2 linked regions of the Drosophila melanogaster genome follow. The protein of the gene in region 1 interacts with the protein of each later gene in a pairwise test. Each region holds a gene or a part of one and is shown on either strand. Other genes may lie near its edges.

The links.
Region 2: the proteins of CG6999 (region 1) and Ndf interact in a two-hybrid assay, tested with the Drosophila melanogaster proteins (one large-scale study listed by BioGRID).

What each region holds. Positions count from the first base shown.
Region 1 is NC_004354.4:9,086,254-9,089,978, forward strand, and holds CG6999 (uncharacterized protein), read left to right. Parts: upstream 1-2,113; 5' UTR 2,114-2,217; coding exon 2,218-2,512; intron 2,513-2,585; coding exon 2,586-2,992; 3' UTR 2,993-3,061; downstream 3,062-3,725. Other genes in the region: CG32708 (uncharacterized protein), read left to right, coding at 1-65, 144-529; CG32706 (uncharacterized protein), read left to right, coding at 991-1,285, 1,359-1,756; CCT2 (chaperonin containing TCP1 subunit 2), read left to right, coding at 3,343-3,345.
Region 2 is NT_033779.5:10,001,758-10,009,419, reverse strand, and holds Ndf (Nucleosome-destabilizing factor), read right to left. Parts: upstream 5,589-7,662; 5' UTR 5,374-5,588; coding exon 5,294-5,373; intron 5,111-5,293; exon of another isoform or gene 4,886-5,110; coding exon 4,849-4,885; exon of another isoform or gene 4,377-4,848; intron 3,997-4,376; coding exon 3,914-3,996; intron 3,853-3,913; coding exon 3,003-3,852; intron 2,946-3,002; coding exon 2,835-2,945; intron 2,513-2,834; coding exon 2,242-2,512; intron 2,169-2,241; coding exon 2,079-2,168; intron 2,007-2,078; coding exon 1,917-2,006; intron 1,854-1,916; coding exon 1,654-1,853; 3' UTR 531-1,653; downstream 1-530. UniProt on the Drosophila melanogaster protein: Nucleosome-destabilizing factor that is recruited to genes during transcriptional activation and colocalizes with a subset of trimethylated 'Lys-36' histone H3 (H3K36me3)-enriched regions. Binds DNA (in vitro).

The sequences.
Region 1 (3,725 bases):
GCGGGAAATCTTGGGCGAGTACGGCGCCATCGGCAGAGTTTACCTACAGCCAGAGAAGCTGTCAAGTGAGTGGACCAAGTGGCATACATATAAGACCCACTGATTACCCACTAGTGTATATACTTTAATCTCAATTACTTTAGGTGCCAAAGCGAAGAAGAACAAGCGTAAGCGTTATAATATCCACTTCACCGAGGGCTGGGTGGAATTTAAGTCGAAACGTGTGGCCAAACAGATCGTTCCACTGCTGAACAACAAGCAGATATCCGGTCGCAAGACGTCCCAATTCTATGACTCGCTATGGAGCATGAAGTACCTGCCGCGCTTTAAGTGGGTCCATCTAACCGAGCGCATGAACTACGAGCAGGCGGTTCACAAGCAACGCCTACACACTGAGGTCTCGCAGGCCCGCAAGGAGACCACCTTCTTCCAGAACAATCTCGACAAGAGCGAGTTCATCAGGAAGCAGGCGAAGAAGGCCAAGAATGCGGAAAAGGCTCTGGCTGCCAAGAGCGACAGCGATGCCTGAGTTCGCGCTAGACTGTTGCATTCAATGTTTACCTGACTGCAAATATACTTATATTAAGTAGATCAAATAAAAATCTTTAAATAATTAGGCGCGCAAAATTATTTGAAATTAGGGCCCCTGCATATCGATAATTTCGTCGATTGTGTGTGCGTGTTAATGCTACTTCAGCTACTCAAGCTGAAGGAGGCCACTGTAACGCACAGGGATGGTTAAGATTTCTCGATTAAAATAGGGCTGAGTAAATCAAATGTTCTGTTACAAAGTGTTTTTAAAGCGATATGCTTTTCTAATGAAAGGGTACCAACACATCGATAGCTCTTCGATAAAAACGTCAACTGACATCGCCTGTCAACTGTCATACCTGATTGCGTACATTACAAAATATATTCGATCCAGCTAAAACGAAAGCTACAATGAAAAAAATAATTAATACATCAAAGCCAAAGCGCAAGTCCACTTCCATGAAAGTGGAGGAGACTAAGCTAGGCGAAGTGCGCTCGGGTAAGCCGCAGACAAAGGAAGGTGAGTCTGCAAATGGGGTAGCAAATCCCTCAAATGACGATAAAAAGGAGCTGGCCAATTTCAAAGCCACCTTCAATTCCTGGGCCCCCGAGAAGAAACGCGAGAAGATGCACAAGGTAGGCGTCATCTTAATATCCAACATACCCAAGGACATGGACGGGGACTGCCTGAAGGAAATCATGAACTTGCACAGCGTCGTCGGCAGAGTTTACGTGCAGCCGGAAACGCTGTCAAGTGAGTGGACCAAGTGGCATGCACAAATGACCCACTGATTACCCAGTATAAACTTTTATCTCAATTACTTTAGGTTTCAAGACAAAGAAGAACATGCGTAAGGGCTGGGTGGAGTTCATTTCGAAAAGTGGGGCCAAAAAAATCGCTCTAGAGCTGAACAATAAGCCTATAACCGATGGCAAGTCGTCCCGATTCCGTGGCTTGCTGTGGAAAATGAAGTTCCTGCCACGCTTCAAGTGGTACTATCTAACCGATCGCATGGACTACGAGCTGGCGGTTTGCAAAGTTCGCGTATGGTCGCAGGCCCGCAAGCGGGCCACCTTCTTGTACGATCCCGACCAGATGGAGTATTTCAAGAAGCAAGTGAAGAAGATGAAGAAGGTCAAGAAAGCGGAGATGGCTACCAGGAATGCGGAGATGGCTGCCAAGAAAGCGGAGATGGCTGCCAAGAAATTGAAGAAGTCTGCCTGAGTTCACGCTAGACCTTTGCTTCCAATGTCTACCTGACTGCAAATATACTTCAATTAAGTAAATCAAATCAAAATCTTTAAATAATTAGGCGCGCAAAATTATTTGAAATTAGGGCCCCTGCATATCGATAATTTCGCCGATTGTGTGTGCGTGTTAATGCTACTTCAGCTACTCAAGCTGAAGGAGGCCACTGTAACGCACAGGGATGGTTAAGATTTCTCGATTAAAATAGGGCTGAGTAAATCAAATGTTCTGTTACAAAGTGTTTTTAAAGCGATATGCTTTTCTAATGAAAGGGTACCAACACATCGATAGCTCTTCGATAAAAACGTCAACTGACATCGCCTGTCAACTGTCATACCTGATTGCGTACATTACAAAATATATTCGATCCAGCTAAAACGAAAGCTACAATGAAAAAAATAATTAATACATCAAAGCCAAAGCGCAAGTCCACTTCCATGAAAGTGGAGGAGACTAAGCTAGACGAGGCGCGCTGGGGTAAGCCGCAGACAAAGGAAGGTGAGTCTGCAAATGGGATAGCAAATCCCTCAAATGACGATAAAAAGGAGCTGGCCAATTTCAAAGCCACCTTCAATTCCTGGGCCCCCGAGAAGAAACGCGAGAAGATGCACAAGGTAGGCGTCATCTTAATATCCAACATACCCAAGGACATGGACGGGGACTGCCTGAAGGAAATCATGAACTTGCACAGCGTCGTCGGCAGAGTTTACGTGCAGCCGGAAACGCTGTCAAGTGAGTGGACCAAGTGGCATGCACAAATGACCCACTGATTACCCAGTATAAACTTTTATCTCAATTACTTTAGGTTTCAAGACAAAGAAGAACATGCGTAAGGGCTGGGTGGAGTTCATTTCGAAAAGTGGGGCCAAAAAAATCGCTCTAGAGCTGAACAATAAGCCTATAACCGATGGCAAGTCGTCCCGATTCCGTGGCTTGCTGTGGAAAATGAAGTTCCTGCCACGCTTCAAGTGGTACTATCTAACCGATCGCATGGACTACGAGCTGGCGGTTTGCAAAGTTCGCGTATGGTCGCAGGCCCGCAAGCGGGCCACCTTCTGGTACGATCCCGACCAGATGGAGTATTTCAAGAAGCAAGTGAAGAAGATGAAGAAGATGAAGAAGGTCAAGGAAGCGGAGATGGCTACCAGGAATGCGGAGATGGCTGCCAAGAAAGCGGAGATGGCTGCCAAGAAATTGAAGAAGTCTGCCTGAGTTCACGCTAGACCTTTGCTTCCAATGTCTACCTGACTGCAAATATACTTCAATAAAGTAAATCAAATCAAAATCTTTTAATATTTAGGCGCGCAAAATTATTTGAAATAAGCGCCCCTGCATTGCATATCGATAACTGCAAAACTTTCGAGTGCTGGTTTGTGTCAACACTATTTTTGGTATTTAAGTTCATGCAGGCGTTAGCACCTTTCCGTTGTCGGTATTTCTACCCGATAGCCGCGCGTTATCGATAACAGCCATCGACTGTCTCCATTTTCTTTGTCGCTTTGTTGCGCCCGTGTGGTATTTGAAAATTCTGTGATCACAAATCGACTAATTACGCAGAGAAAATGGTAAATTTAAAAGTAACAACTATATTATTCGAGTAGTTTACGGTGCGGGCTATTGGCGTTGCGTGAATTCGCCCACTTTTCATTGATAATTGTGGCCAATTCGGCGTTTTCATTTGCCGGGTGTGTGTGTGAACGAAGCGCAAGCCATTTTGACAGGCGGCTTGCACGTGAGCCATGGACTCCGATTTCGCCTGCCACTTCCAGAACCTTCTCCTGCTGTCCACGGGATCTGGGTGAATTGGAGCTATCACTAGATTGCTGGCCGGGATCGGCTCGGGCAGCTGGCTGAGAACCTTCGAGATGCATTCCACGCCGTTTTTGCTGCCGATGAATCACTCGGCGCCGCTCTCCCTCGTCCGCCACTTTTTGGGGTTAGGTCG
Region 2 (7,662 bases), on another chromosome or scaffold:
CATAAACATCCACGATAGGGATGGAACAAAAGTCGATGTTCACGCGATGCTATCGATGTTTCCAGCAACTCCGTGAAGCGATTATTTCCTATCGCTGGAACCACTAAAAATGGGAACTAGTTGTTTTTGAATTATTTTAATGTTTCATATTCATAGGTTAAAAGGATCATTTAGCAACAAAAAAATATGAAATCAATATTTTTAGAAGGTATTGAATTTTCTTAACTAATTTTATGATTATACAAATAATAAAATTGTGTCGCGAAGAAAACCTCCCATTTCCTTTACGGTAATAAAAAACAATACAAAATAAGTAAAAATATACCTTTCATACTAATCGAAAAGGTTAACCAAGTTGTATATAACTTTAATATTATGAAATTCTCCCAAAACACACATTTCTTTAATGTATGTCAATTTAAATAAAGTTTAAATTGCACTTACATTTTAATACTGTATTATCCAAAATATATATGAACCATATCAAGCAAAACGTGAATATTGCAATGCGAACTCAATTTAATTTCCTTACATCCTCTATTAAAATTATCTTTTTATTAATCTTTGTTTTACAACAAAATACAGACTAAATAATAAGTAAAATATATTATTTATTATATATTCTTATTATTATTATTAATAGCGACCCACGCAAAGGGTTCGATCAAAGTTTACTCTATTTTGTTTTCTTCCGGTTGTTGTGTAGTTTACGTTTTCGTATCGTTTGCGTATCGGTTGTGGTGCGTTCTGTACCGTTTTTTCCGTTTTAGGTTGTGTCTCGTTTGTTGCAGTGACAGATGATGGGGAGAGATGGCTAAAACTAAACCAATCTATCGTTACCGTCACTCCAAATATGTTTGCCATTCTACGCAGTATGATCGATTAGCCTACTATTTACTCATAGAAAAAAAGGGGATTTTAAATGTATACAATTTTAGGACTGGAGTAAATGCACAAAAAGTGGGAGGCTGGGAGGTTGGATCGACACACATTGGAGGGTTCCATACTTCGCTCGGTTTCTCAAAATCGGCGTTGTCTTTCACAAGTATGCTTTGTACATTTTATTCGGATGCAGTATTCTATACACTTACAAGTTATGTATGGACATGCGTAAAAATGATATTTGGAAAGCAAAACCTTACACATATAAAATCGGAAACACGGCGCCCTGGCCTCCTCCCTCCTCTCTGGGGATTGCGTTTCACCCGTCAAAGAATAAAATACAAAAAAACTCTAAACTTGATTGAAGTGATCCCGGAAAGATTGTGCTCTTCATCCGCCAGCTGTTGAACACACTCACCCAAGCGCTCTTCAGTGGCTCCTGCGTTGAAAGCAGGACGACACGGTTCTGCGATTCCCGGCGAATCGTAGACATATTGCATTAAACGCTTTGCATATGGGGCGATTGGGGAAGATGCAGAAGGTTGGGGTGGTGGCGCTGCCAATCACAAGGGCAGGAGAACTCCTTGTGAACGAACGCCTCTGTCAGTTTGGATTGGTGGGTGAATAAGTGAGGGTTATGCGTTTCTATTACTGTCCTGTTTAGTTTTTTTTTTTTAAGTCAGTCGTTTGTCGGTTCTGTCGTTCTGTTCGGTGTACGCTTTAAACTAATTGATAAAACATAGTTTAAACGTTAGTCGTGTTAACTAAATGTTAAAATCTGGATCTTACGAATACGGCGCTCGAGTCGTGTTCACTGTAGCCCAAGCGCTTGGTGTGCTTGAACACCTCGTTGGTGATGCTGGTGACGGGCATGGACTGGTCCAGGTTCTCAGCCATGTTTAACACCAAGCGCAAGTCGCGTTGCATGTGGCTCAAAGGCTGCTGGGGATTGAAGTCACCCTTGGCCATTTCTGCAAAGGAATTCAAAATAGGATAAGATAAACACTAGGAAATAGCCACGGTGCTATCCATACCTTTGCCCTTAGCCAGCAGCATGGGTGATTTCATTGAAGTCAAATCGAAAATGTCTATGATGTCGTTCAGAGAGATCGAGAACCGATCAGCTGCAAAAGCAATAAAAAAAAAGATCAATTAGTTAAGGCTGCTTACTGCTAACAATATACAATAAAACCTACCAAGTGCTAACGCCTCAGCCAACCCGACCAGACTCACTCCCAAGATGGTTTGCAAAATTAGGTTTACTTTGCAGGCGTTACCGATATCTGCTAGATGTGAACAAACGACATATTTTAATAAATTGTTTCAAAGGAAATGGTCAGCAGTGCAGGCTGTACTTACTCCCCAAGAAGAAGGTGTTCTTGGCAATGGTCTTGAAGCACGAGTGGCACTCCTCGAACACTGAACGATCTCCACCGGCGAGAATGATGAGCATGCCTTCGGCAGCCTCCTGCCGAGAGCCGTGAATTTGTGCCTCAAGATAGCGACCGTTGCACTGCTTGATGCCCTCGCCAATGTCCAACGATGTGTCCGGATCAATTGTAGACATTTCAACGTAGGCCTTATTGTTCAAGTCCTTCAACTGCAGAACGCCGCAGTTGCCAAATACGAGCTAAACATCGAATAAAACGAATGCATAAATAAGAAGAATGTTAAATTACGCCATCCCTCCCAGTTGCACAATTATTTTGTATTCTAATATATTTTAATTTTATACAGTGTAAGGAAGATCGCTTTGCAAAGAGAGCGTCAGAAAATCGTCATTTTAAACTGCGTGCTTTCATTCATATGTACTTTTTAAGTTAACAAGCGCGGATGAGTCATTTGAATTTTATAGGAACCCCAAGGCCAAAATTTAAGTTTTGTTAACCACGTTGTGTTTTAGGCATTTCCCAAATTAAATATGTATATAAATGAAACCTTTTATGACTTACATCCTTGGCGCCCTTTGGATCGGACACACAGCAAAAGATAACGTCGGCAGCTTCCACAACATCCATGGGAGTGTCCTTAACCTCAGCGCCGGCTTCGGCAAACGGTTGGCACTACAAAACGAGATTGTTGTAGGATTCATGTGTGAACTTGCTATCGTAAAACTTTACCTTGTCAATGGTGCGGTTCCAGACCACAACCTTGTGACCCGTGTAGATCAAATCCTTGACTATGGTGGATCCCATCATTCCAAGACCCAGGAAGCCGAAGGTCTGCTCTGAAGGCACGATATCGCGATCGGCCAGTGTGTTGGAGCGCGAGCTCATGTCGATGACTTGGGCCTCTGGCCGCGTGACAACCGGTCGGTCAAGCAGAGCAATTGCATTCGGTGCACGCTTGGCAGCGATTGAGGCCAAGAGTGCGTCAGTCTCGACCCGACGTCTGCCAGTGGGCGTGGAGCTGGCTTCATCCGCGTCCTGCAATGCCTCCCCGGAAACATCACGCTTGCCTCGCTTGGCATTCGATGGCCCACTGGGCGACTGTTGGGCAGAGGTACGCCGTTTCTGTGCTGATTTTGCCGATCCCTTTGTCGACTTGACCGATGTAGCGGCCACGGACTTTGCTTTCGGCGTCCGCTTGCCAGCTGCCTTCGTTGTGACCGCCGGCGACGTGACTGGTGACGCTGATGAATCTGCATTGATTTCCACATCCAAGCCATCGCCCTCATCGGGGCTGCCCACCACATGGGCCACCACTCCATTGTTGCCATCGGCAGTTGCTTCCTCTCCCACAATCTCCTCGCTGTCCAGGCCATCCCGGATCTTGTCAAAATCAGCCTCGGTTGCGTGATTCGGCGCACCGCAGCTTTTGTTCACCTGCTCGTCCACCTCGGCGGGGTCGTCGATGTACTTTTCGATATCCGTCATGGCGTGTCGGAAAGCAGCGGGCTTGCTCACCTTGGCCAGTTCCTCCTTCCACGGTCCTTCGAAGGGCTTGATGTTGTTCTCCTCAATCCAGGCACTGTTAAATATTACCCATGTTATTACAGGCGCTTTTTGGGGTTGGCGTGCATTTTACTTACAAATTCCTAGATCCAAAGAAAAACACGCATTTGGTATTCGCCCGACGCTGCTGGCTGAGCAGATCAAGTGGAGGATCGACAATCTAAGGAGAGAAATCAACATTAGCTTCCACCACATCATATCTTTAAAGTCTTCAGAAACATTTTAAGCAGACAATGCATTTTACTCTATAAGGATGTGCCTATGAATTCCCTCGAACTAATCTATTCTGTGATAACCCATTTACAAGACTTTATCACGCACGAAACAAAACATATGCAAATGTTGCTTTTTCACTTCCAATTTCAATCGAAAACCACTCTTTAACTTTACATTTGAGCTAGGAATTATAAGGATTTAAAAATATATCCTCATTTTTCTAGCAACTTGCACAAAACCAATTTGATTTGATAAAACCTTAGCTGAGGTGATTCACTATCATTAGCACATTTCACAAAACTCTAAAGAACCGATTGGTATATCACAAGATTACCGATGAGAATGTTAATGTCAAATAAAAGTTAATATATTAACAAAACTCCTTTTGAACGGCATAGAATAACGAAACTGGGAACTGATATCCTTGGCAACGTCTGTGTTCAAACTCCACGCCTGCCGCGCGTCACTCCCCCTCCTCCGAGTGCACATGCTGCTTTCCAGCGGCTGTACACACGATCAAAAGCTGCTGCTCGTGGCCCCCGATAGCGGCTCCATGGAAGAGACCATTTCCTCCGCCGGCAGCGACAACAGCACAGCGGCAACAACAACAACCACAACGGCAATGGGGCAATGTGTGCAAGTGCGTGGCTGCGGGCAGAGCGGCGGCAGCGAAGCCGGCAGCGTTGAATCGAAAAGTACAGTCGAAAACAAACACAACAACATGGCAGCAGAGAAGGCGGCAGCGACGCGACGTCGACGCGGCGTAAACATTCCGATCGCCAACTGCAATGCTTACCATTCCTGGCCACGGAGTGAAGCCCTTCATTTTGGCCCTGCAAAGAAAATGCGCTATCAGAACAGGGAAAACTCATATTGGCCGCAAGGAGGAAAAGCAAGAAAAAAGGGCGCGCGCGCGAAAAAAGCGCCAACGCAGCGAAGTCGACGTCGCGCGCCCGGAATCCACGCACGTAGCTCCGGAATTATGGTCGTCATTCGGATGGAGCTACATGGATACTGCGCTGCGTGGCTGTCAAAAAGGCAGCGCTAATTGCTTTTTTATGCACACTTCACTGGCTCTTTTTTTCTTCATATTTTTTTTTCCGAGCGCCAACGGTGCGCAATTGAGGTTAGGTGTTTGCTTTGATTTTCATCTCTCGTTTTTTTTTTTTTCTTGTTTCTTCACGGCGCAGCGCAGCTGAGAATACAGCGAATATATTGATGAGTCCACGGTCCCGGCTTACCATATCAGATCCTTGGGTTTGTAAATAAATTTCTCCGTCGTATCGCCGCCCGACAGCGACAGTTTTTTATTCTTCGACATTATGTTGTCCAGGCGTATGTTGAACTTGGTTATTTTGCTGGCTTGGGCGGACGGTGCACGGAAGCTAATGGGTTTCTCGGATCGGAGCACAAATCTCGGCGTCGGGATTCAATGAATTTCGGAGATATTCGCTTGCAGGCCACCCGTATTTTTCTTTTTTTTTTCGCGTTGTGTGTGTGATGCGCTGCCGAACCGATATCTGCTCGAGCAATGCGATAGCAGGCGGGCGCCATTTTGGCTGGCAATCGGCCAGTGCTGGAAAGTGGCGGCGTTGCTACGTCATGCAATCGGACTGCCAACCCGCCTCGAACTCGGTAAATTAATATGGGTTCCGAATTAAATTATTTAATTAAGTATTACAAGTGAATATTATTATCGTGATTCAATGCAAATTCGTAAAATGCACTTGGAATCAATCCATGCTTTTTATACGCTAAATTTTTTTTTAAATACTTTATTTAATTCTAATGTTTAGATGTTAAATACAAAGGCGGGCATAAACTATTGAAATTTAATTCCATAAGAAAATAATTTCATTGATACACATTTTTAGTTGGAGATTATTAATAAATTTTGTTTTTTGGCTTATACAAATTCCGTTTAAGTAAAATAATGATAAAGATAAATTTAATTAGTATTGCACAGTAAATTCTTTATAATCTGTGCGATCTTGAGCTCGGAAAACTAACAGTTAACTACAAGTCCGTCCCCTTAGCCGAAAAATAAATTACCACACGTCCAACTCAATTTTTCTCTGATTCTCAGCACTCAGCATCAGCCATATAATCCTCATAAATATGAAACAATCATATAAAAAGAGAATAAAAAGCGATTGCTGCTGTGGTTGTGGGTTGCGGGGGGTCATGCGACAACCCTGCTCGGTAAAACTTTTCGGGTGACCTGGCAAACAAAAGGGTGAAAAAGGGAAATTGCGGCCGTTAAAGGGGTATTGTATTTGTGCTAGGAAAAGAAAGCGTGCTTTTGGGTTGAATTATTGCATTTTGTTTGGCAATTAGCAGGCGCGAAATGGGTGAGAAGGATTTATTGGGACCAGATTGCCATCAATTATAAGGGAAAAAACGTACATATGTTTCTCTAGTTTTGATCGCATACTCGCTAGCAAAAAAAAAGGGTTTAAGTACATTCATTTGTTTGTGTGTTTCAATTTGAGTTGGGGAGAAATTAAAGTTTTTTTTTTTAAATTCCGATCTGACCATTCCGATAAAAGTTGATATCGAGCTTATCTTAAAGCTTAAAACATCGATTAATTTGGAAGGCAAGAATTAGTTTCCTGCTCTTCTTCATTCTAGCTGTGCAAAAAAAGTCGGTTCCGTTGACCAATAATAGCAAATATTTATTATTCTTACTCAAGTATAATAGATTTATATGTGAACTATTGGTCGTAACTTAACTTTTTTCTGACTTCCAGACGAAAGTGTCTTGAATCTCAAGTTCCGTTCTTGTTTACGATCTTCCAATTGTGCTGACACTTTGAAAATAGCCGCTTCTCTGTTTACAAGTGGGTATGTACATGTATGCGTGTGTGAGCATGTTGTTTGGAATTGGTTGGAATATTGGAAATGATTGCCAATGGAATTCAGTCGGTTTCGCGCATATTGAAAGTTGGAACGTAGGATTTTAGTAATATGTATTTATTTCTAACTAAAATTATGTTTGCTAATTTACATTTGATTTGACTTTCAGAAAATATTGGACTGGATTGCATTTTGGATTGAAGACCCTTAACTTGGTATATTATTGTAAACATAATATAAAATTGTACGTAATACTATTAAAATATCTTTGCAGCTGTTCAACTGAGGCGATGTACAACGGCGCTACATCCAATTCCGATTCGAGTGAGTAGATTCCAAGTGATCCGATTATCATATTATTTTCCTGCATTATCCTTGATTTTTTTTTATGAAAACCACTCACTTTATCAAGGGATAATTTGGGGTGGATCGTATCGATCCAATTGCTTAGACAATTAATACCCTATTCACTTGCGCACATGTTAAAGGAACTCAAATAATGCAGAGCATTTACTTATTTAGAGGCCTTAGAGAACATCTCGGGCAATTAAAGTGTTGATAGAACAACAACTAGCAGCACGCTCCAGTGCCGTTTGTGGAGCACCACTTGCCACACCACAAGGAGGCTGTGGGGTGGAGGCACTGCAGCAGCATCTAGTGCAGCGCAAACAAACAGCAAATAGGCACAAGGACCTTCTTACTTGCGGCTTAGCCAGTTGCTTTGTTTTCCCATTTGAAAGCTGCAGATGCCGTC